2 linked regions of the Caenorhabditis elegans genome follow. The protein of the gene in region 1 interacts with the protein of each later gene in a pairwise test. Each region holds a gene or a part of one and is shown on either strand. Other genes may lie near its edges.

Region 1 (13,541 bases):
TAACAAAATGCTTATTTTTTAATTTTCTACATTTTGGTAGTTGAAAATTTGTAAAAATATCAAAAATGAGCCGAAAAATGGCAAAGATCGACGGTATCTTGGTTAGTTTTAGACTTATTTAAAAATTGTCAACTGCTAGCATATTCCTTATAAAATTTTCTATATTTTGGTATTAGAAAAATTCGAAAAATCTATAAAATGAGTTTAAAAACGGTAAAATTAGCAATTTGATGTAGCATCTCTTTATCAGCTTATATCTTTTTTACTTTTGAAGTTATCAAAAAATTGTCAACTACCAAAATCTTTATCAGCTATTTTTCTATACTTTCCCAGTTAAAATTCTCTTAAAATTCTAAAAATAAACCGAGATATAAGGCTTAAAAGGAAATACGGTATATTTCTATGTGTGTCCCGCTGTGCTTGTGTTTCGGGTCCGTCATTTCTATATTTTTGTGTTTTTATGTTTTTGTCTGTTCATACTTGTCCATGTCTCTGTCTTGATGTCCTATGTTGAAGAAAAATGAAATATTTGTGCATTTTAAACATTTTTTGAAATTTTTGTCCAACTGGCTCAGTGCGATTTTCGCCGACTGCCGAGCAGAAGACCGGGGTTCGAGTCCCCGCGGTGGATTAAATTTTTTTCAAGCTTGTTTTAGAGGAATTCTAACATTTTGAACTCGAATTTTAATATTTTGAAGCTGAAAAATATTTGCAAAATGTTCTAATTTGAGATTTCAAAAAAAAAAATTAAAATCATTTTTGTTGTTGTTCTTGTCATAATTTTCTGTCTATTTTTTAGTTCTTCACCTCTTTATCATAACTAATTTTACTAAAACAGGTACAAATGAGGACGTAGATCACCTGCCGCCAACATGCTCCTCATCTGACGATCATGACGTCATTTCTCCAGACTTTAGTGCAAAAAATCCGCTTTTAAGGTCTCGTAACGACTTTATGGGCGGTTCTGTGAGAAGTCCGAGGAGATATGGAAATGATCATGACGGGCATATTTATAGTAAGTTTTGGGGGGAAAAAATCGAATCTTCAGACAAAATTTCAAATTTGAAAAAAAAATTCCTAAATTTTTGCTCAATTTTTTTTGTTGCTCATTTTCCCCCATTTTCAGCATCTCCATTCCTGCCGCCACGTGTGCCCATCCGCAACTCCCCGATGACGTCATCACTCAGGTCCCGCCCACCGCCCCCGCCTTACAACCGCAGCCCCGCCCACAAAATTGAGCAAAATTCTTCGTTTTTTGAGCCAATTGCTCATTCGACACCAAATTCGTCAATTTTGGAGGAAAGAAGGGTTGTGGGGGAAGGAGAAAAAAGGGAACTAGTTAGAGATAAGGTAAGATAAGATTTTAGAGGAAAAATTGGGAAAAAATGGATTTTTGTGGGGGGTAAAGTGAAGAAATTTGCATTAGAAACTGCCTGAAACATAATCTTGAACTTTTTTGAAAATAATTAGGCTTAGGTCTAGGCCTAGGCTTAGGCTTAGGCTTAATCTCAGGCTTAGGCTTAGGCTTAGTCTCAGGTTTAGGCTTAGGCTTAGGCTTAGGTCTAGGCATAAGTTTAGGCTTAGGCGTAGACTTAGGGTTAGGCTTAGGCTTAGGCTTAGGCGTAGCCTCAGGCTTAGGCATGGACTTAGGCGTAGCCTCAGGCTTAGGCTTGAGCTTAGGCTTAGGCTTAGGCTTAGGCTTAGGATTAAGCTTAGGCTAAGGCTTAGGCTCAGACTTAGGCCCAGGCTCAGGCTCAGACTTAGGCTTAGACTTATGCTTAGGATTAAGCTTAGGATTAAGCTTAGGCTAAGGCTTAGACTTGAGCGAAGCTGGGGAGTTGAGAAAAAAAAAAAATTCCTATAAATTCCTAAAAATACAGATAAAGAATTGGGTCAAAAAATCGGCCGAAAAAAGACAAAAAATTTTAAAAAAATTTTAAAAGTTTGTCAGGGTTGGAGAATTGAACTTTCAGTTTTATTGAATTTAAATTGGCAAAAAAAATTGTATTTTTAATTTTCTGAATTTTTCACTATTTCAGTAAAACCATTTATTTTTGCGAAACTTTCCAGAAAAAAATAACTTTAAACTTCTTCCCAACATTTTTCATTTTTCAGGAAGAACGCATCGACAAGACGCTCAGCTACTACGAAAATGTAAATTTACCCCAAAACCCTCCGGATTTGCCGGAAAATAGTGATCTGAAACCGAATGAATCGACAATTTGGCACGAATATGGATGTGTATAATTTCTGTTTTTTTTTGAATTTTTTTCTCATAGAAGAGCTATTTATATGTATTGTAAAGCCGGTTTTAACGATTTTTAATGGTTTTTTTTTTTGAAAAATTTTTTCACCTCATTTTATGATTTTGTGCTCATTACAGTTATGTTTTTAATAAAATATTCAAATGTTTGAATAATTTTTTTTGTAATTGATTGTACGAAAATAGCAATAAAACTGGAAAAAAATTAAATTAAAGCTTCAATTTTGACTAAACTTCCAATTTTTTTTAATTTTTAGTCTCGCCACGAAAATTCTGCAGTAACCCTCTCAATTTTATGATAACACCTAAAAATTTGATAATTTTGAATTCAGCTAGCTTAGAGCTTTGATTTAAGTATAATCATGACCAGGTTTGGAGCATTTTGAGATTTTCTCATTTGCTGCTCCTTTAAATTTAAATTTTCGCTGCGAGATCCGAAAATTTTAAATCTAATGGATTATAGGCATTATTATACATTTTGAAATTGGAAAAACATGGAAAATGCAAATTTTCATATAAAAATGAGTTTTTCGGAAAAAAATTGAAAAAAAAAATTTTTTGAAAAAAAGTCAAAAAATTTTTTTTTTGACAACAAACCAAAAATGGTTAATTTTTGCTGTCTAGTGTGTTTCAATGTACTCCGACACGTCCAAAAGACCAGTTTTCCCGTCTATTTGTCATCATACTATGCCGTCTGCGTATCCATAGTTCCCGTTGGCCCATGCATGCTGATTCCAACCGTCTGCGTCTCTAGCCCCTCGTACACTATTTCCTCGAATTTTATTAGAATGGCAGACAACCAGGTGTACAACGTACTAGGCGTGTAGTTCTGGTGAACTTGTGATTTTTTATCGATTTTTTTTGGGTTTTCCAGGTGGAAAACTTGTTTTTTTTTAAATTTGCGAGCTTCATGTATTTTTGAGCACTATTTTCTGTAGAATTTTTCATTTGAAAGCATCATTTTCATTTTTCCAACATTTTTTCTTTTTCTTCAAATTCTTTTTTCCAACATTTTTTTATTTTCATTTTTCTTGTATTTGTGACAAATATATATAAGAAATTACTACTTTTTTCAATGAAAAATTCGTTTTTGAATGAAAAAATCCTTAAAATGGATTTTTGAAACTTCAAAATGTTTAAAAATTTTCAATTTCTTTCAAATTTGTGATGTTATAAATTTTTACAATTTTTTTGAAACTCCAAAATTTACAAATTTGCAAAAAATTTCATTTTTTCCGAATTTTCCGAGCTTCCGAAATCCATATTTTTGAAATACTTTTTGAAAAAAATTCAAATTTTTAGAAATTCGAATTTTTTAAGAAGGCTTAATGCCCAAAAAAAGTTTAGGCCTAAGCCTAAGCCTAACAAGGGAAGTCTTTGAGGGGGTCCGTAGATTTGGGGTTCTCATGCTAAAATTCCTACAGAAGAGTGTTAGTTATGATCTCTCCAAAAAATTTAGCTGCCCCGGTCAAGTTTCAGCAAAGTTATGACGTTTTGAAATTTCAGTTAAAAACACCATTGAAATCCACTGTCTTACCATGCAATCCACGCAAATCTCAGCCTGCGTGACCACCGAAAATGTGACACCCACCACATTGAGTTGAAAAATGTCTTCGGTGGCCGAGTTGGGAGTGCGCGCGTCTGATAAGATTTAAGCTTTGGTTCGATACCTTCTATTTTTGAAATATTTTTGTAAGTTGAATAAAGTTGTAAAACAACTCATTCAAACATTTTTGCGCATTTTTAAAGTGATTTTATTCTTATTCGGGAACCTAGAATCATTGTCCGCACTTTTTGGAAATTTTTATTTTTTTCATTTTTGCTCAAAATTTCTTAATCAACTCCAAGCAAAAAAATCAAAAAATTTCATTTTTCTAAACAATTATGAAATTGCTATGCTGTTGTTTAGAAATGTATGAAACGTACATTACACAAGTTTTAACTCTCTATTCGCAAGTAAACCGTCGAAATGATCTACATCTCACGAACTTTGTGCAAAATATTTAACCAACTTTGAAGTTGCATAACTTCGTTGAGATAAATTATTTTGAAATATGATCAACTAACAAAATGTTTGTTGAATAACAGTAAACAAAGTTTTAGTTATAAACTTTTTGATACCTTCAGCCACCAAAAAGTTGTGACCGTTTTCCAAAACACAATGTTAATAGAAAAACTAGCCAAATGCCAACCTTGTTTTCTTCTTTGTAGCTGGTATCAAAAAGTTTATAACTATATATATAACTAACACTCTTCTGTAGGAATTTTAGCATGAGAACCCCAAATCTACGGACCCCCTCAAAGACTTCCCTTGTAAGCATAAGCCTAAGCCTATACCTAAGACTAAGCCTAAGCCTAATCCTAAGCCTAACCCTAAGTTTAAGAATTAGCCGACGTCTAAGCCTAAGCCTAAGCCTAAATCTAGGTCTAAGCCTTAGCCTAAGCCTAAACCTAAACCTAAACCTAAGCCTGAAGCCTAAGCCAAAAATTCCAAGTTTTTTGAATTTTTCAAATTTTTGGAAATTTCTAATTTTTGGAGAAATTCAACTAAATAATTTTTTTTAACTTTTACAAGCTTCAGTTTTTACTCAATTTGTACCTTATTTATTGCCTTATTTTCAACGAATTTTAGTTTTTCAGCAAAAAAAATGTCTGCTGGACGAGGCGAGAAGCCGCCGTGCAGTATTTGTGGAGAAGTTGGTAATGGTGTGCATTTTGGAGCAGAAGCCTGTCGGTAAGCTGCTGCCAAATTTTCAAAGATTTCAGCCGAAAAAACGTGCATTTTTTTTTCAAAAATTTCAATAATTTTCAGAGCCTGCGCAGCATTTTTCCGCCGTTCAGTTGCCCTCAACAAATTGTACAGATGCCGTGGAGATGGAAATTGTGATATTCTTTCAAGTAGGCCGTTTTCCGTGAAAACTATCGATTTTTAGCCAAAATTTCAGCTATCAGATGCATGTGCCGAGCTTGTCGATTTGCAAAATGTATGGCAGTTGGGATGAAGCGAGAAGGTGAGTTTTAAGCCAATTTCTGAAATTTTCACCAAAAAATTGTTTAGAAAATTAGAAAAAGTAATCTAAAATTCGAAAATTATTCCTAAAAAATCGAAAAATTTGAATTGCAACAGCTTGTGTAGATTTACGGGAGTCTGTGTAATTTACGGAAATTTTTGTAAATTTACGGGAGTGTTTTGTAGATTTACGAAAGCTTTCATAAACTTACGGAAGCTTGTGTAGATTTACAGAAATGTTTCCTGTAGATTTACGGAAGCTGGTGTAGATTTACGGATGCTTGTGTAGATATGGGATAATTTTTCTTATATTTATAATCTAATTTTATTTTTTCAGCCGTTCAAAAATACCGTGACGCTTACGGAAAACGTGGCTCTGACGTCGAATCGCCGGGCAGCTCATCAGTTTCACTTCCGAATCAAGGCGACGGATTTGGCCCTCCTGGTGGTTTCAACCCGAATTCCACGTTCGACAGTGTCGAGGAATGCGGAATGCCAATTTTGACCATGTTGAGCCAGAATTACGAAAAACTGCAAAGTGTCCGCCGCGTCGTACATCACGATCAGGGCAGCAGTGTGTTTCAGGTACAGTTATCTGAAAAAAAAAATGAAAAAATTTGGAGTTTTTCATGTGAATTTGTACATAAGCTTGTGTAGATTTAGGGAGTTTTTCGTGTAGGTTTACGTGAGTTATTGTAGATTTACGGGAGCTTTTAGTGTAGATTTACGAGAGTTGGTGTGGATTTACGAGAGTTTTTAGTGTAGGTTTACAGGTGTCAGTGTAGATTTACGGGAGTTTTTATGTAGGTTTACGAGAGTTAGTGAAGATTTACGAGAGTATTTAATGTAGGTTTACAGGAGTCAGTGTAGATTTATGGGGGCTTTTGATGTATAGTTACGAAAGTTAGTGTAGATTTACGGAATCTTCTGATGTGAATATACGAGAGTTCGTGTAACTTTACGGGAACTTTTAATGTGGATTTACGAGCGTTTTTAGTGTAGATTTACGAGAGTTTTCAGTGCAGATTTTTTACAGCAGTCCGTGTAGATTTACGTGAGTCAGTGTAGATTTACGGAGCCGTTGATGTAGATTTACAAAAGTTCATGTAGATTTACAGGAGTTTTTGATGTAGATTTACTGAGCTACGTAAAATTCAATTTTTTTTTTCCAGATGCGAACCCCAAAAGCGGTGAGCTACAAAGAGGCGAATATTGTCAGCTCGAAGGAATGTGATCTGGTGGCCGACTGGATTCTCAACTCGTACCCCGGATTCGCAGATTTACACAAAGATCAGAAAGTAGGCCGGAAAGCCTGAAATTTCAGTTTTATCGAAAGAATTCAATATTTTCAGATAATTTTGTTCCGCAATTTTTTCTTGCCATTCGTGATTCTCCAGGGCGGTCATTTTGCGTGTATTCATAGTAAGTTTTTGGTTTTTTTTTGTTGAAAATTTGAAAACTGTTTTTCAATTTACAATTTCAGACCGTAGTGACGTCATAATTCTAGCGTCAGGTGACTACATCGACTGCTCGCACCCGGAGACGTTCTACTACGACCCAGACGGCCGCCAGCTCATGTCTTCAGAGGATGCAGTCAGAATGTTTGCATCGAGTTTCAGTATTTACCGGCGAAATGTCACAGATCCGATGCTCCGGGATAATGTGGACAGTTTTGAGTTTTTCGCGCTTTGCTCATTGGTTTTATTTGATACTGGTAACGTTTTTTTTTTTGGGATAAGTTTAGCTGATAATAAGTATTTTAGGCCTGGAAGGACAATCTGAGGAGTGTATTCGGGTCTCGCGACGAATTCGAGAGGCGATTCAGCGAGAGATACTGTACCACTATCGGAATGTGAGACATATTGAGGACCCGTCGATGAGGCTGGCGAATTTACTGTCTTTGTTGCCAGCGTTGCAGGTGAGTTTTGAAATTGTAAAGGAAAAAAAAATCTAAGCGGCCACAAAAAATTTCAGACCTGTAGCACAAATGTGAGCAAAGTTACGCGTCTTCAAAGTTTTCACCATGCGTCGCGTGTCGCGTCGCGGTCGACGTTGGAACTTTGAAAAGCTGTAACTTTGCTCAAAATGGTCGTAGAGCTATGAAATTTTGGGTGTATGTTTTTGAAATGAGCATTGACCTTTGGCAAAATTTTTGTGCCTTGACGCATTTCTAGTGCTTTGACGCAATTCTAGTGCCTTGACGCATTTCTAGTGCCTTGGCGCAATTCTTGTGCCTTGACTCAATTATAGTGTCTTGACGCATTTCTAGTGCCTTGGCGCAATTCTTGTGCCTTGACGCAATTATAGTGTATTGACGCAATTCTAGTGCCTTGACGCATTTCTAGTGCCTTGACGCATTTCTAGTGCCTTGACGCAATTCTAGTGCCTTGACGCAATTCTTGTGCCTTTACGCATTTCTAGTGTCTTGACGCAATTCTTGTGCCTTGACGCATTTCTAGTGCCTTGACGCAATTCTTGTGCCTTGGCGCAATTCTAGTGACTGGACGCAATTCTAGTGCCTTGACGCAATTCTAGTGCCTTGACGCATTTCTAGTGCCTTGACGCATTTCTAGTGCCTTGACGCATTTCTTGTGCCTTGGCGCAATTCTAGTGCCTTGACGCAGTTCTAGTGCCTTGACGCATTTCTAGTGCCTTGACGCAATTCTTGTGCCTTGGCGCAATTCTAGTGCCTTGACGCAGTTCTAGTGCCTTGACGCAATTCTTGTGCTTTGGCCCAATTCTAGTGCCTTGACGCAGTTCTAGTGCCTTGACTCTATGCCTTGACGCAATTCTAGTTGCCAAACGCGTTAAAATTTACGGATTTCCCTACGGAATTTTCAAATTGAGAAGCTTCGAAGCTTGTGCAAAAAGTCTTTTGATCGGAACATTCCACTGCGCTATACGGGCAAAATTCTCAAAAACTACCAAAAATGCTCAAAATTGTGCAAATTTCAGTTCAATCTGTTTTCAGAGAGCCACCCGCCGATTCCAGGAAGACGTAGAAATTTCACACGTCTTCAATGTCTACTCAGTGGACGCGAAGTTCTACGAAATGTGTAATGGCCGATTCTAATACAGTACTACCTACAGAAAAAAAATGCCAAGAATTTTTTTAAATTGTATATAATCCTGAAAAAAAAGTCAAAAAATGTGCCTGAAACTGTGATCAAAATCTAGTTTTTTATTGTTGTAGAAATTAACTTTGTGATTTGATTTGATTTGTTTTTTTTTTTGCAAATATTTTATTTCTCATAAACGTTATCAAATTTGAATTTTCTTCTGTCTACAATTGCAATTGCTGGTTTTTTCAATCCACTACACGTGAAAAAATCTAAAAATGCCCTCCTAATCGGCGGAATGCACATCATACTGACCAGTGGCACCATAAAAATGCAGGAGAACGAGAACATGTACCCGTAGGCGCAGAAATAGTTAACTGAACGGATACCTGAAAAATTGAAAAATTGTGTCGTTTTTTAGCAAAAAAAAATAGCGGAAAAAATAGCGGAAAAAATTGTTGAAAAATTTTTTTTTTTTTTGAAATTTTTTTTTTAATTTTCCCACCTGCCAGGAGTACTTTCCACTGCCGCATTGTTAGCGGAAATGACAATATAAATTCAGTGACACTTTGCAATAAAATCACAAAAGAATAATTGAGAGACAGGTGCTTTGTAGATGTACACTCTGAAAATTCGGCGGAAATTTCAAAAAAAAAACCCCCAAAAAATCCCACTTTTAAACAAGAACTTATCGATAACTTGCACGATAACCAGCGTGAAATTTGCCAAAATTGCAAAAATCAGCAGCGTATTGTTGAAAGACATCTGAAAATCCAAGAAAATGTCAAAAATTTCAAGAAAAAACTCACAGAAATCAGAAAAACGTCAGGTGAAGCTATCCACTGAGCACAAACATCATTAATAGTGACGTCACCAATTGCCAGGTGTCCCAGTGTGAAGAAAAGCTGAGAATAATCAACTTTTATATGGAAAATTAAAAAAAAATTTTTTTTAAGTCAAAACCCGATTAAATTCGACAAAAGATTAAGCCTCATTCCAAAAAATGGGCGGAGCATATCCGGACCATTTTATGGGCGTGGTTTATTTTGTACTACCATTTCTTTTTTAGCAAAAAGGAAAATTTTTGTAAAAGTGCAATTTTCACTAGAAAATGCGAAAACTTCCAAGCCACGCCTGTAAAAGTGGGTGAAGCTTAATTTCCTAGACTCCACCCATTTTGTGGGCGGGGTTTGTCGTGTACCGCCAATATTATGAAGTACAAGGAATTTCGAAAACACTGCAAAATTTTGACTGAAAATGATTTTAAAAAAACATGAAAATTTGTAGCCACGCCCCAAAAATAGGCGGGCTGAATTCTACAGGCTCCGCCCATTTTTGGGCGTGGCCTAAAGTGTACCATACTTTTTTCGAAGAACTGCAAAAAAAAAATCACAGAAAAAATGCTAATACTACCAGGCAGAACTAGAAAGGTTTGGTTTTTCAATTCACTCCCCAAAAGTGGGCGGGGCTTTATCGGCACGCCCACTTTTTTGATTTTTTTGTGGGCGTGGCTACAAACGTTTTTATTTTTCCATAAAAACCAGTTTTTAGAAAAATGTGACCAAAACGGTTCGAATTTTTATTGAAAAATGGGCCATGCTCACCAAAAAGTGGGCGTGGCCTATTTTTCCATTAACTTTCCAAAAATTTACCTCAACAAACGTGATGATCACTTGAATCACCACTAAATTAAACACTTTCAGCTTTTTCTTCAAAAAAACCAGACAAATATGATCAATAGCGATTGGTACAGTAATCAGGCCGGCCGACTGGAAACAGGCGAGCACAAAGTGACGGAGCAACGAGCAATGGAGCACGGATGGGTACTCGGGAGCTTTTCCGAATAGTAGGTACATTGTCTGCCACGTAGAGAGTAGGTAGAATGGCCAGTAGAGGATTTGCGCCGAGAATGTGGCGAAGGATATGTAGTTCTGGAAAATGAGGGATTGAAATTGGCATAACTTTGGAACCGGGTTAAGGAAAAAATTTTTGATGTGTTTTCTGAAAGATGAAGCTTTGTTAAGGTATTTGGTAAATTTTCAGGAAAATCGATAAATTTGTCGGGGAGAAATTTAAGTTTAAATTTGAAAAAGTGAGTTTTTCACTGAAAAATTCAAATTTTGAATGGTTTTTTCTGCAAATTTGAGTTATTTAAAAAAAAAATTGAAATGCTCATATTCTTGTAAAGTTATTAAAAAATTTCCAAAAAAAATTTTTTTTTTGAAAATTCCAAATTTTTTCCAAATTCTAGTACATATATTCAATTAACTCACCGCATACTTTAACATTAACCGCTTCCTCCTCCATAAAAATGCACAAAGAGCAATACTAGCCACCAGGGAGACTGTGTCCACTAGCCATTCGGACAGTAGGCGAGTTGAGTGTTCAATAGCCGTATAAGTTGGCTCGAACACTTCATCCCAGCCGGTTTCGTCGGTGGAGCGACTTTTGTGAATTCTGGCGTCGGTGGACTTGTATACAAATGGGAAAAGATCGAAAAGTGAGGAGTTCATCGGGAAAATTTCTGAAAAATGTGTTGAAAAGTTCGTTTCAATGGATTTTTCGCGTTTTGGGAGTTGAAAAATCGTGATTTTCACATAGAAAAACCTTTAGACCAGCTCCAGGGGTCGAACCTGCAACCTATTTATCCAAGCTCAAGCCTCTTACCCACTGCGCCATGCTGCTGGACGCGCCGCGCAGCTTTAGGAGGCTGTGCGCGGGAGTTCACGTGGCGCAGTGGTTAAGAGGCTTGACTATGGAGCAACAGGCCACAGGTTCAAACCCCGGAGAGGACAATAGGTTTTTGCAGGTGGTGATTTCGAATTTTTTGGTCTTAAATTGGGAAAATATAGTTTAAAACTGGAGTTTTCGAAAAGTTTCCTACAAAATCTCCATTTTTTCTGCCAAATATTAAAATTTCAAAATTGTAAAATCAATAAAATCACAATTTCAAACAATTAAAAACAAACCGAACAGAGTAAAATTCGCAATGAACAGTAAAAGTGTACAGAGAGATTAGCCAATAATCCGACAGTGCCTACGCGTTTTGTAGGGGAAAATGGAAAAAAAAATCGATCTTTTGGTTTATGAACAATTTATTAAACCAGGAAGGGAAACAAAAAAAATTAAATTTGAAAAAAAAAATTTCGAAAATTTTTTTTTTTTTAATTTTTTTCTTTCAAAATCAATATCATATCATTTTGTTATTTATGTTTCCGACTTTTTTGTCCATTTTCCACTAATCGATCAGTAGGCACCATATACTCATCGTTGTTCTCCTGGTACCTTACAGGTGGCTGGTTTCCTGAAAAATTGCCGATTTTTTGCAGGAATTTCCGGAACATTCTCACCCAAATATTGAGCCATTTGTGGAATCTGACACTGACAATCATCTGTCGCATCATTAATCGGTGTCATTCCATGGGGGCACTTGAAGAAGGCCTGGAGGTCCTCTACGGCCCGAGAGCTGATCTCACAGCCGTCGTGGTAGCACCTATCACAGCCAACTTGCTTTCTGCAACATTTTAATTGCGAAAATTGAAATCTCCGTAAAATTTCCAAAATTTTGAGACCCATATTGGCTATGTTACGAGCACTTTGCGATTTTGGGCTCGAAACGACCTGAAACGGCCTAAAACGGCCTGAGGTGGTTTTTTAAATGATATTGTCATAATCGTAAAATTTTTTACGTAAAAATCCAAGCAGTTTTGCTAAAATCGCAAAAATTAACTCTCACATCTCCAAAGCGGCCTGTTTCCGGCCTGAAACAGCCTGAAACGGCCCACACCTGACTTGAATTTCAATTTTTCTGCACTGTTCATTGTAAGTCTTATTTTTTCAAAATGAAAAATGTCTAACTTTATTTTATAAAATTCTGCACAAGCCATGTTCTGGAAAAAAAAGGTTTAGGGCCCAAAACGGCCTGAAACAGTCTATATCGGCCTGAACACGCAATTTTTGGCTTTTTCGTTAGAGATTGTTTTTTTGAATGTCTGATTTTTTCATTAAGTCAGCCAAGTTTCAAAAAACCCAATCATTCGAGCCCGAAACGGCCTGAAACGGCCTATTCCGGCCTGAAACTCAAATTTTTTGGAAAATAGTCAATATGGGTTTTGAAACTTCAGATTTTTTTAAAACATTTCTTTTTTTTAAACAATAACACTGGAAAATTGTCCGTTTTTCAATTTTTAGTTGAAAAAAAAACATACCGGCAGGGGTCACAGTGTATCTTAATTTTCATGCCATCCTTGGATCTTTTACACCTTGGGCAAACATCCACGTCAGCGGAAAAGTGATCGATTTTATGAATTGCTAGAAATACTTGAACAGTCTGAAATTTTAAAAATGCTCCAAAAATTTTTTTCCAAAAATTCGAGCCCACCTTATCATAAGTGGACCTCAATTTTGCCGTAATAATATCTGAATAAATATGCTCTGTTATCATATGTCTATGTCGTTGTAGAGCATTCAAAGATAGCCTAGAAACCGATGGAAGCAGAGCTGCATGGGTTTGAGTATCGAAGTTATGCTTCAGGGCCCAGTTGAGCCAGCAGAGCACTACGATCGGCTGCCGGAGATGAGCCTGAACTTTTTCGATTGAAAATTGGAAATCTACGTGAAAAATCCAAAGTTTTAACATCCATGTTGACTATTTTTGGTGAAGTTTGATTTTTAGGCTTTTTAGGCCGAAATAGGCCGGAACAGGCCGTTTCAAGCTGAGTTTTTTGACTAGTTGAGTGAATTTTCTAGATATTTAAATACGATTATAAAATTTCGACCATGTTTGAGAAATTTGGATTTTTAGGATCTTTAGGCCGAAATAGGCCTAATTGGGCCATTTTGAGGCGCGAAATAAAAAATTTTGAGTCAAGCTCATTTGAATGAAAAATGTTTCACTACAAAACACTGAAGTTTTTGAAATGAAATATCAATCTCCGACAGTTTGGGCCGTTTCGGGCCGATTTGGGCCGCTTCAAGCTCGAAATTTTTTATTTTTCTTGAAAAAGTCCGCATAGGTCAACTTTTCACGTAGATTTCAAATTTTGCACTCTAAAACTCACATTTTCGATTAAAAATTTCATACATCTAAGTTCAAGCCCCTTGGCCTGAAATCTCTGTGATAGCCTCATACATGTCTCGAGGGTTTCGTCTGAAATTCAGCATTTTCAGATAATTTTTGAATTTTCGGCTTACCCGATATGTCTTTAAG
Region 2 (10,869 bases), on another chromosome or scaffold:
ACATTTTCACGTACTACTGGACGAGATCTTTCTAAAAACATCAAAAAACCGATAGTCTATGATCAAAAAGTTGACTTTTTTTCGAAAAGAAAATTTCATATCAAATTCGAAATCAAATTTGTCACGAAGCTGATGTTGGACCTTTCATTAAAAAATTTTTCCAGGATTTTATACTCCGATTATTCATCTTTTGATGACGTGATGGTTGATGTTTGGAATCGTTCATCGACTTCATCGTTCAACGGGAAGCACCTTGAAACGGCATAAATCGCTGCTGGAATGCAATTAACCTTGGTACTTTCCGATTCATTATCCAGGTAACAGTGGATGGCAATACTTCAATATGAGTCAAGTGTACAATATTCATAATATGGTTAGTTTCCAATAAGATATTTGTAACTTAAAAATCCGAATTTTTTTAGAATCAACCCGATTGCAAATGGATCGCGCTTCCACCGCCGCTGCCACATAAAGATGCCCGAATAGAACTCGTATAAGCCCCGATTTGGACTGACAGTTGCACCACCTATGGCAGAAGTCGAAAAAGAAAGTGAGTTGACAGTTATTTGAAAACATGAAATGAAAATAAAAATTGCAGATCGAAGAAGAGGGAGGTCATGAAACGGGCGAAGCAAGTGTTCATCAAGCGCAATATTTCTGTGAGAACAATGCAGAGGCAACGACAAGTGGCATGCTACTCCCCTGTTATGGAAGAAGAGGCTCTTGAAGTTCGTCAACCGAAGATGACTGGTCAAGAAGAAAAGCTAAAAAGGAAATAATCTCTCTTATCGCAATTTCTCACTGATCACTTCGGATTAGGTCTTTTTACAATCTTTTAAATTTTTATTGACTATCTTTTACATTTTTATTATGTATTTACATTGTTATTTTTATATTAATAAACGAATTTTTAATAATAACACGCGTTTTTCAATAATCAAATGTGAGATTATACGATTTAGGGAATTTCAGGGCTCTAAAACTCGAAAAAATTGGCCAAAATCGAGAAACATTGCGAAAAACTGTTTAAAGTATCGATTTTCTTCAATATCAGCAACATACAATCCTTTAAAATTATTATTTTTTGTAAATTCGATAAAAATTCATTTATTTTTCACAATTTCTGCCCGAAAATTGCCGAAATAACCAGCGTTTCTATAACTAAGAAAGTGTCGTCAATTAAAATGCCGCGTCCGCAAAATGTCGTATGAAACTTTTCGCTGAGTATCAAACGTTGAATATTCAGTCAGCTAAATTTTACTACGGTAGAGATTTTACAGCCACGTACGGTTCGCCGGGCCGTGGTGGCCAGTGCGATTTATATTTTTTGATAATATTGCGCAACATATTTGACGCGCAAAATATTTCTTAGCGAAAACTATAGTAATTCTTTAAATGACTACTGTAGTGCTGGTGACAATTTACGGAAATAATGGATTAATCGATAATACGAAAAAAAAAACTAAAGAAAATTGAATATCGATGTCACAATTTTCATTCCAAAATAGAGCCCGTAAATCGACACAATCACTACTGTTCTCATTGAAAGAGTTACTGTGGGTTTCGCTACGAGATATTCATCGCGCCAAATATGTTGCACAATCCGCAATCTCAGAATTAAGTGTTCCGGTTACGATAGCTGAAGTTGCCAGAGCTCGAAGACGTTAATCTGGTGACCTTACCAAGTCAACACATTAAAATAGTGGTTTTTTTGAATTTTCAGAAAAAAAAAGTAGCCAAAACATTCTGGAAAAAGAGAAGCAAAACTACTTCGAAGAGAAAAATAAAAAAAAGCTAGGATTCCATAAAGAGTTGTAAAAACCTGGATGATCCTGAAACCTGAAAAAAATCCTAAAACTTATTGAAATGACTTCCAATTCCATGGTTTTCGTTGGTTTATGTACATATACCATTCATCTTAACATTGCTTCAATGCAGTTGCAGTTTCCAAAAATGAATGATTCAAATGTTTAAATAGGAAACAATATATTTTAAAAGTTTACAGCTTTATTTAAAAATCATTAACCAAAAAATATTATGAATAAGTACTGTCTTTAGCCAGTGACTCGTGCCAGGAAATTGAACCCGTAAGACCCTCATCGTCAACTGTTGATCTCCTTCACCAAACGTAGAGGCGACAGCACCTATCTTGCCAGAATGATCGCTCCATATGATGACCATAGGCGCAATCATTCTCTCAAGATAATATAGAAGGAGGGTAAATGCATTAAAAATTTTAAAAACATTGATTGAAAATAGTATTCCAAAACGGCAGCAATAATAGAAACTTTAGAAACTGAATCAATTCCAGTGTATAGAAAAACTTACAATTTAAACATTTTATAAATTGAAATTTTTTTTTGGAATATTGTTGCCAAAAAATGTGCCAAGATAACCAAATATCATAGTAGAACGTTTCAAAAAATTTGAAACTAATTTTGTAACCCTTTTTGGAATTCGCCGATTGTTTCAAATAAAAATTGTAAGGATTCGAGCATGCGAAATTACTACAGTTTTCTAAAAATGTGGCTAAAACTCAATAACCTGCCATTTTTATTGCCAATAAAAAATTTTCAAAACATGTTACTATGATATTTGGACATCTTGGTGGCATATATGTGGTTTTTAACAGTTTCCCCACTGCTACTCCACCTTTAAGTCCTGGGAACATTTCCGGCAAATCGGCAAATTGCCGGAACTGAAATTTCTGGCAAATCGGCAACTTACCGGAATTGAAAATTTCCGGCAAATCGGCAAACCCGCAAATTTGCCGATTTGCCGGAATTGAAATTTCCGGCAAATCGGCAAACCTGCAAATTGCCGATTTGCCGGAAAAACGGCACTTTGCCGAAATTTAAATTTCCGGCAAATCGGCAAACCTGCAAATAGCCGATATGCCGGAAAAACGGCACTTTGCCGGAACTGAATTTTCTGGCAAATCGGCAAATTGCCGAAATTGAAATTTCCGGCAAATCGAAAAACCTGCAAATTGCTGATTTGCCGGAAAAACGGCACTTTGCCGAAATTTAAATTTCCGGCAAATTGGCAAACCTGCAAATAGCCGATTTGTCGTAAAAACGGCACTTTGCCGGAACTGAAATTTCCGGCAAATCGGCAAACCTGCAAATTGCCGTTTTGCCGGAAAAACGGCACTTTGCCGAAATGTAAATTTCCGGCAAATCGGCAATCCTGCAAATTGCCGGAAAAACGGCACTTTGCCGAAATTTAAATTTCCGGCAAATCGGCAAACCTGCAAATTGCCGGAAAAACGGGACTTTGCCGGAATTGAAATTTCTGGCAAATCGGCAAACCTGCAAATTGCCGGAAAAAAGGCACTTTGCCGGAATTTAAATTTCCGGCAAATCGGCAAACCTGCGAATTGCCTGAATTGAAATCTCCGGCAAATTGGCAAATTGCCGAGTTGCCGGAATTAAAATTGCCGGTGAATTGCCGCGTGGAAAAAGTAGCTGAAAAATGTTTAAAATGGCAGGACCTGATAATATCGCATGTGAATTTTTTTATTCAGAGATCGTGTGTCAAAAAAAACTAACATCAACCTAACCAACACGAGATCGGCTACTAATCAGTAAGTGATAACTTTTGAAACTTATTTTAATTGAAAAAAAAAACCATTTTCAAGTTTTCATATTCTAATGCTTATAGAAGAGACAAGTATCAAGAATCGAGGAAGCGATCTGCTAATTATGTATCAATTCAAAGCTCACCGGATCTCCCCATCAAGAAAAATCTACTAACGTCAATCGCGCAACAAGAAATAAGAAGCCATCGAAGACATTGGGACAGTACATGGACGGCGAAGAGTTACGAGAGGATTTAAAAGAAAAAGGGAAAACTATGGATAACGATCTGAAAAAAAGTTTGAAGGAAGCACCTAGTGAGAGTTACTGTTACGTTCTAATAAACCCATACGTTCTGGACAAAGACGTGAGGGAAGTAGATCTGGCTACGTTCCTCTCGTCAATATTCTACGTGGGCAAAGGAAAAGGGGAAAGAGCAATGGCCTACTTCAAGGATGCTTGCGGGAACATTCAAGGAAGCCGCAAGCTTACTACAATTGACCAGGCTTGGAACAAAAAAGGATTTGTTTATAAACACATAATTTGTACGTTTAGATAAGAAAAATCTATAAATTGAATTGCTTTTTAGGGAGACCAATTATCGAAAATCTAGCACTCGCCAGGGAAGCTGCTATGATATTTTTTTTCAAAAATTTGGCTGGAAAATCGAACTTTACTAACAAATACGTAAGTTAAATTAATTGGCTAAAAAAGATTCTAATATAGTAAAATTTTCAGAACGGCAGTTTCAAAGGAGAGTCGGCGTTTTGGAGCAGGGAAGAGAAATGCAACTACGGCGTATACCTGCTAGAAACGTAAGTTTGAAAACAAAATATCAATAATTTAACGTCTAAATTTTAGAATACACCGTTCAATCCAAACCAATGGCTGTGAGACTGTCAAAAAAGAAGATGTTGCTCCAAGAGCCGCGATCCAACAAAGTCCTCGACTCTAAACTTTTAATTTAATTGTTATTTTTAAATTCCCTCATTCACATTACCCAACTTCACTATGCTACTGACTATTTAAAATTGCTCAAAATTCAAATATTCCACTTGAATAAACCTTATTATGAGAAATTAATATTTGACCTTTTTTATTTGAAAATAAACTGTTCCCGCCGTTTTCTTTATTTTTTTGCATTGTCGTCATATCGCGCGCAAAGTCCGCAGTGACACCCGCGTGGTGTTTGCGTACCCCGCAATTGTCATCCTCACAATTTTCGAACGCGACTCCCGATTTCTTCGTTTTTTGCTGTAAATTTCGGATATTTCCGGTCAAAAATTTATTAAAATATCTGGATAATGGTAATTATCAATGTCGTATTGTGTTTTTATCGATTTTCTCAGTTGTTTCCACGAAATTTCTGTTAATTTTCACCGAAATCTGTTTCAGAGAGGAATGGAGCGATTCCTGCGACTCGGAGGTCTTGGTGGAAACCTTGGAACGGTAATTGCATTCTGTTTCGATAGAAAATCATCTAAAATTTCGAATATTTCCAGTTCGGAGCCAATCCACAGGACTCGAATCAAGTCGACACCTCGGAAACCGTCTACATTTCTTCGCTGGCGTTGCTGAAGATGCTCAAACACGGAAGAGCCGGAGTTCCCATGGAAGTGATGGGGCTGATGCTTGGAGAATTCGTCGACGACTACACCGTCAATGTGATCGACGTTTTCGCTATGCCACAGTCTGGAACCGTGAGTTTTCGTCAAAAATTGAATTTTTAAAAAAGATAATTTATTATTTTCATTACAGGGAGTCTCAGTCGAAGCGGTCGATCCAGTATTCCAGGCGAAGATGCTCGACATGCTCAAACAGACCGGAAGACCCGAGATGGTCGTCGGATGGTACCATTCCCATCCAGGATTCGGATGTTGGCTCTCCGGCGTCGACATCAACACTCAGCAGTCGTTTGAAGCGCTTTCCGACAGAGCTGTCGCCGTTGTCGTCGACCCGATTCAATCTGTGAAGGGAAAGGTTGTGATCGACGCGTTCCGTACGATCAACCCACAATCGATGGCTTTAAATCAAGAACCACGTCAAACTACCAGTAATTTGGGTCATTTGCAGAAGCCGAGCATTCAGGTTGGGGAAATTATCGGTTTTTAGTGAACATTTCAATAATTTTCGGTTTTTTTTTCAGGCCCTAATCCACGGACTCAATCGTCACTACTACTCCATCCCAATCGCCTACAGAACCCACGACCTTGAACAGAAGATGCTCTTGAATCTTAACAAGCTCTCATGGATGGACGCAGTCAGCGTCGAAAACTACTCAAAATGCGGTGAACAGAACAAGGAGCACCTCAAGGCGATGCTCAAGCTCGCCAAGAACTACAAGAAGGCGTTGGAGGACGAGAAGAACATGACGGATCAGGAGCTCGCGATCAAGAACGTCGGAAAGATGGATCCGAAGCGGCATATTGCTGATGAAGTGAGCAAGATGCTCAACGACAATATTGTGCAAAGTTTGGCCGGTATGATGGCGACGACTTCATTGCAATAATTTTTAAATCAATACTCATTTGCTTATTTTTTTATTATTTTCTCAAAAATTCCCAATTTCCTCGTTCTCTCCCCGTCTTTTTGTGTATTTTTCCCCATAATTTATTTTGAAATCATCCCAGTTCGGTGTTGGAAAACATGAATCTTCCCCGCCTTTAATCGATTTATTGTTTATGCGTTAATTTAGTCCATTTCGCTAACAACTGAGGCAGCAGCATCACATTCAGATTGTTCATATCGACCGATGGTGTGTAGTCGTTGATGAGGAGATATGGAACTTCGAGGATCGGATTCGGTCGGGTGCTCATCGTCTTTTGAGCAGCTTCGCGCTGGAGTTGAACGCCACGTGGACCATCGTAGCATTGTCTGAAATTGTGAAAGATACGGTCTCGACACGACAATCTTTTTTTTTAATTCAAAAAAGTTTCGCCTTTAAAGATTACTGTAGTTTCACTTTTAGGAATTTTCTATAAATTTTTCATTTGATTTTCACCAAAACATAATAAAAAAATATTAAAAATCGATAGAAATTCCAAAAAGTGAAATTACAGTAGTCTTTAAAAGCGCACAGCTTTCCGCGTTTAACACAATTTTGTCGTGTCGAGACCGGGTACCCCGTTTTTTAGCTCAAGATCGGGAAAACTTTGAACATTTTATTCGAAAATTTGCAGAAAACTAGTTTAATTATTATTATCATTATTAGTTTTAGGAAATTATTATTAGAAAACTAGTTTAAAAAACAGTAAACGCGCTCCACGGCCAATCGAAAGCGCTCCGCCTCCGAACCATGGGTCTCGTTAGGAATTCAGCGGCAATACCGAAAAAAATGGAGCGCGTTTACATTTTTTAAATTCATTTTTCAAATGAATTTCCGAGTTTATTTACCAAAATACTGGAAGATAATTAGTTTTTTTCGAAAAAATGCAGAAAAATCGTATTTAAAAGGATAATAAAAGCGTGTGGCAAAATTGCAAAAAGAAAATCGGCAAAGTGCCGGTTTGCCGATTTGCCGGAAATTTTCGATTCCGGAAATTTGCCGGAAATTTTCAATTCCGGTAAGTTGGCGGTTTGCCGATTTGCCGGAAATTTTCAATTCCGGTAAGTTGCCAATTTGCCGGAAAATTAAATTCCGGCAATTTGCCGGTTTGCAGATTTGCCGGAAATTTGCAATTCCGACATTTTGCCGGAAATTGCAATTCCGACAATTTGCCGGAAATTTTCAATGCCGGCAATATGCCCGTTTGCCGAATGCCGGAAGTTTTCGATTCCGGTAATTTGTCAATTTGCCGGATAATTTAAACTCCGGAATTTTGCCGATTTTCCGGCCCCCGATTTGCCGGAAATTTTCAATGCCGGCAAGTTGCCGGTTTACCGATTTGCCGTAAAAGTAGTTTTCGGAATAAATACCTAATCTGTCGATATTGGCTCCGAATGAACGCGGAGCACGTCTGCATCGCGTGTTCGACTCCATAGTGTTGAATGTTACGTTCGAAACAGACGATGAAGGGCAACGCTCCTTTGACCTGAAATCAATCACTTTTGATAAATAGAGAGAGAGATTGATCGGCGCTCATCTGTGTCTGTGTTTTGAGCCCCCCATCAATTGCTAACCTTCAAAATATCAATGACACAAGATTGAAGGCGATTCGCGTCGCACTCTTTTTGTCCGTGATTGCACGAGAATGAGCCGTCCTGTGCAAATTTGACGATTTTCAGAATTTTCAGAACAAAAAGAAATTACCCGCATTATCCTAGAGTTTCCCCATGGCACTAGCTCAAGAATCAACTGGCCCTGGAACTGATTGAACACACTGCCCAACTGATTTGCGATGAATCTGAACTTTATAAATTCCAGTCAAATCGATTTTCCTATGGCCTACTTTTGACAATATGGGCACAAGGCCTCATAGATCAAGGTGATCTTGATCGGCTGCCGCCGGTGACGGAGACCATCGCATTGCCGTTGGACCCCACACTGTTGGGCAGACTGCGGGCTGTCACACCTGGAAAGATTTTTTTCTGGATTTTGCTAATTTGGGGTCTTGGCACGATCGAAATTTTTTTGAGCAGAGCACAGCATGAGCCTAAGTCTAAGCCTAAGCTGAGCTTAAGCCAAAGCCTAAGCCTCAGCTTAAGCCTATGCCTCAACCTAAGCTTTACTCTAAGCCTAAGCTTAAGCCCCAGTCTAAGCCCCAGCCTAAGCCTATGCCTAAGCCTAAGCCTAAGCCTATTTCATTTTGTTAAAAGCATTTTCCCCCGCATTTTCCTCTGAAAAAACAACAAAAAGCACTTACCACAAGTCTGGTGGAATGTCACAAATCTGATGCGTCGGCTGATTGAACACAGAAGCGTGTGGAACCGACGGATACGCCGCCTGATAGGCTTTTATCGCATCTGGAAATAGCTTTGCTGGAATATTTATATTTTTTGACCTTGTGTCGATTTACGCAGATTGTGCACTCCTGGAGGAGATGGAGATCAAAAGATTTTGGCTTTTTCGGTCAAATACTTTGTTTGATTTTCCACGGGGAGTACACTAGATTCGTAAATCCACACACATACAGTCGCTGATATCTTCCATATTCAAAAATATTTTTTGGAAGTATGACGTCAACGGAATTGCACATGTGACGTCATCATTCCGATGAAGAGACTACCGTAGTGCGTATTCTTACTTGGACTAGGATAATTATTGTAGGGGTACTGTTGTTGCTGCTGCTGCTGAGACGCCTGTTTTTGTTGGTGAGCATGTTGCTGCTGTTGCTGCTGCTGATGGTAGTGTTGCTGGTGAGCATTGTAATTATGATTCTGGTAGTTTTGCGGGTACGATGGCTGATGCTGGCGGTATTGGGATTCTGTATTCTGAAAATGGGGAAAAAAGTTGCGCGTCAAATATGGTGTATTGTGGTGGGTTGCCCTCGCTGACCACCCGGAAGCAAAACACGTGTGTCTGGAAGGCCGGTGCCATCGTCCTAAAGTCCCATTACAACGCGAAACACTTTTCATTCTTATTAGTTCCTGTCCACCGCCTTACTCTCAATTTCTCTCAAAAGTTTAGTGCAGTTAAATAAATGAGCTTCTTGCCACCTCTGACCAGCCAGCTGAGAGCAGTGAGCCCCTCAGAGCAAAGATTTTTTGCGACCTTTGAGAACATTGGAAATGGAGAACCAAAAAATTAGGTAGGCATACCTCGTGCCTGCATCTCGCCTACCGCCTGAGTAGACACGAGGCAGGCCTTGAAGGCATGCAAAAAATGCCAAAATTTAGAAAGTTGGCAGATATGTTCAAGTCGAAAATTATCATTTTCAAAATTTTCATTTCATTTTAAATTTTGAAGAAGTTTTGTGTACTGAAATTTTTTGAAAATCGACTGTTTTTGGAAACCAATAAAAACAACTGAAAACTGAAGATTTAAGGCAAGGTTTTGCGGTAAATTTGGTTGCCGAATTTGCAAAAAAATGCAGAGAATTTTTTGTTCCAAAATTCGATTTTTAAAAGTTTTCCAGAAGCTCCAAAAGTGGCAATTTTGAAAAATCGCCTAAATTATTAAAATTGCAAAAATTGGCAATTTTTGAGTTCAAAACCTTGAGTTCCCAAGCTGAAAATCCAGAAAAATTCCGATTTTGAACAACAACATTCTAATTTTTCAAATCAAACCTCCAAAATTGTCTAGAATTTCAAGGAATATTCCTTTTTTAGCAAATTTTTGCAAAAAAGGCGTCCTTGATTTTTATTTTGGAAAATGTCTAAAATACCATAAGTTGCCAAAAAAAATCACTGAAAAATTTCAGATAATCTTGGAAAAATGAACAGAATTCGTTTGGAAGTTTTGAAAATTTTCGGAAATTTTGTATCATTTTTTTTCACAATCAGAATTTCAGAAAATTTTAGAGCTAAGAAATAGCTTGGACTGCCAAAAATTGTCGATTGTTCAAAACTTGCCCGGAAAATTACAAAAAAAAATTGCCAAAATGCCAATACATTTTTTAAAGTCTGTCCCTAACACCCCAGAATATGTAGTATTTTCCACAATTTCAGAGCTCAAAAACCGTAAGTTAACAAGCTCTAGATGCCAAAAGCTGCCAATTTCTAACAATCTCACAACTCCTTAATGTTTGATCAGTCCCCGATTCCCCATCCAATTCCCATCTAAACGACCTTGGTGCCAGGAGCCCCTCCCGCCGGGGACCACACTCACCTGAACAGCTACTCCTAGAACCAGTAAAAGGGAAAATTGAATAGCTGGATTCTTCATTTTAGGATTCCTTCAAAAAAAAAACTTCTGCACCAGTCGACAGAATAGAGGTAGCCACACGGGAAGTTGGGGGGACCCGTGGGAGCAAGAATGGAGCACATCAGGAGAGAGCAGAAAAAGGGCGGCTCCTCCCTGAGGTCACTCGCAATTTCTCTAAATCTCTGATTCCTGCTCATCTCTTCTGCTACTTTCGAATTTTCCACCCCGATCTGAAGGAAAAATCGTAGAAATTGTGAGAGCAGCAGAGCAAGTGTGTGTGTGTGTGTGTTGATATTGAACATATGTCTGTGACAGCAGAGCACCTCCCTGAAGCTCTCAACGTGGAGCAAAAAGTCGAAAAAAATGAGAAAGAAGTGATGATGGTGATGATCTAGAAATTGGAGCCTGTTTCGGCTGAAAGGAGGAGGGACGGGAACTTGAAATCTGACCGCTGGTCACAAGTTTGTATATGACTAAGAAGTACTAAGTACTTGTGATCTTAGTACAATTTTTTCAAGATGTCTGGAGCCATACTTTTCCAGTTTTTAA

The links.
Region 2: the proteins of nhr-70 (region 1) and rpn-11 interact in a two-hybrid assay, tested with the Caenorhabditis elegans proteins (2 studies listed by BioGRID).

What each region holds. Positions count from the first base shown.
Region 1 is NC_003283.11:18,611,698-18,625,238, forward strand, and holds nhr-70 (Nuclear Hormone Receptor family), read left to right. Parts: upstream 1-4,889; 5' UTR 4,890-4,911; coding exon 4,912-4,997; intron 4,998-5,075; coding exon 5,076-5,161; intron 5,162-5,208; coding exon 5,209-5,274; intron 5,275-5,610; coding exon 5,611-5,858; intron 5,859-6,445; coding exon 6,446-6,571; intron 6,572-6,625; coding exon 6,626-6,695; intron 6,696-6,756; coding exon 6,757-6,987; intron 6,988-7,036; coding exon 7,037-7,191; intron 7,192-8,244; coding exon 8,245-8,346; 3' UTR 8,347-8,515; downstream 8,516-13,541. Other genes in the region: grdn-1 (Girdin homolog), read left to right, coding at 839-1,015, 1,127-1,350, 2,116-2,247; Y69H2.1 (Serpentine Receptor, class V), read right to left, coding at 8,516-8,721, 8,838-8,957, 9,007-9,097, 9,142-9,237, 9,985-10,263, 10,606-10,845; Y69H2.15 (BTB domain-containing protein), read right to left, coding at 11,536-11,636, 11,683-11,846, 12,541-12,662, 12,714-12,914, 13,393-13,481, 13,526-13,541.
Region 2 is NC_003280.10:4,038,435-4,049,303, reverse strand, and holds rpn-11 (26S proteasome non-ATPase regulatory subunit 14), read left to right. Parts: upstream 1-4,973; 5' UTR 4,974-4,979; coding exon 4,980-5,027; intron 5,028-5,080; coding exon 5,081-5,278; intron 5,279-5,336; coding exon 5,337-5,666; intron 5,667-5,724; coding exon 5,725-6,087; 3' UTR 6,088-6,242; downstream 6,243-10,869. Other genes in the region: K07D4.2 (GIY-YIG domain-containing protein), read left to right, coding at 3,808-4,123, 4,168-4,265, 4,317-4,393, 4,440-4,533; pqn-48 (Prion-like-(Q/N-rich)-domain-bearing protein), read right to left, coding at 6,251-6,452, 7,494-7,609, 7,698-7,778, 7,828-7,921, 7,967-8,089, 8,381-8,480, 8,762-8,948, 10,285-10,341. UniProt on the Caenorhabditis elegans protein: Metalloprotease component of the 26S proteasome that specifically cleaves 'Lys-63'-linked polyubiquitin chains. The 26S proteasome is involved in the ATP-dependent degradation of ubiquitinated proteins.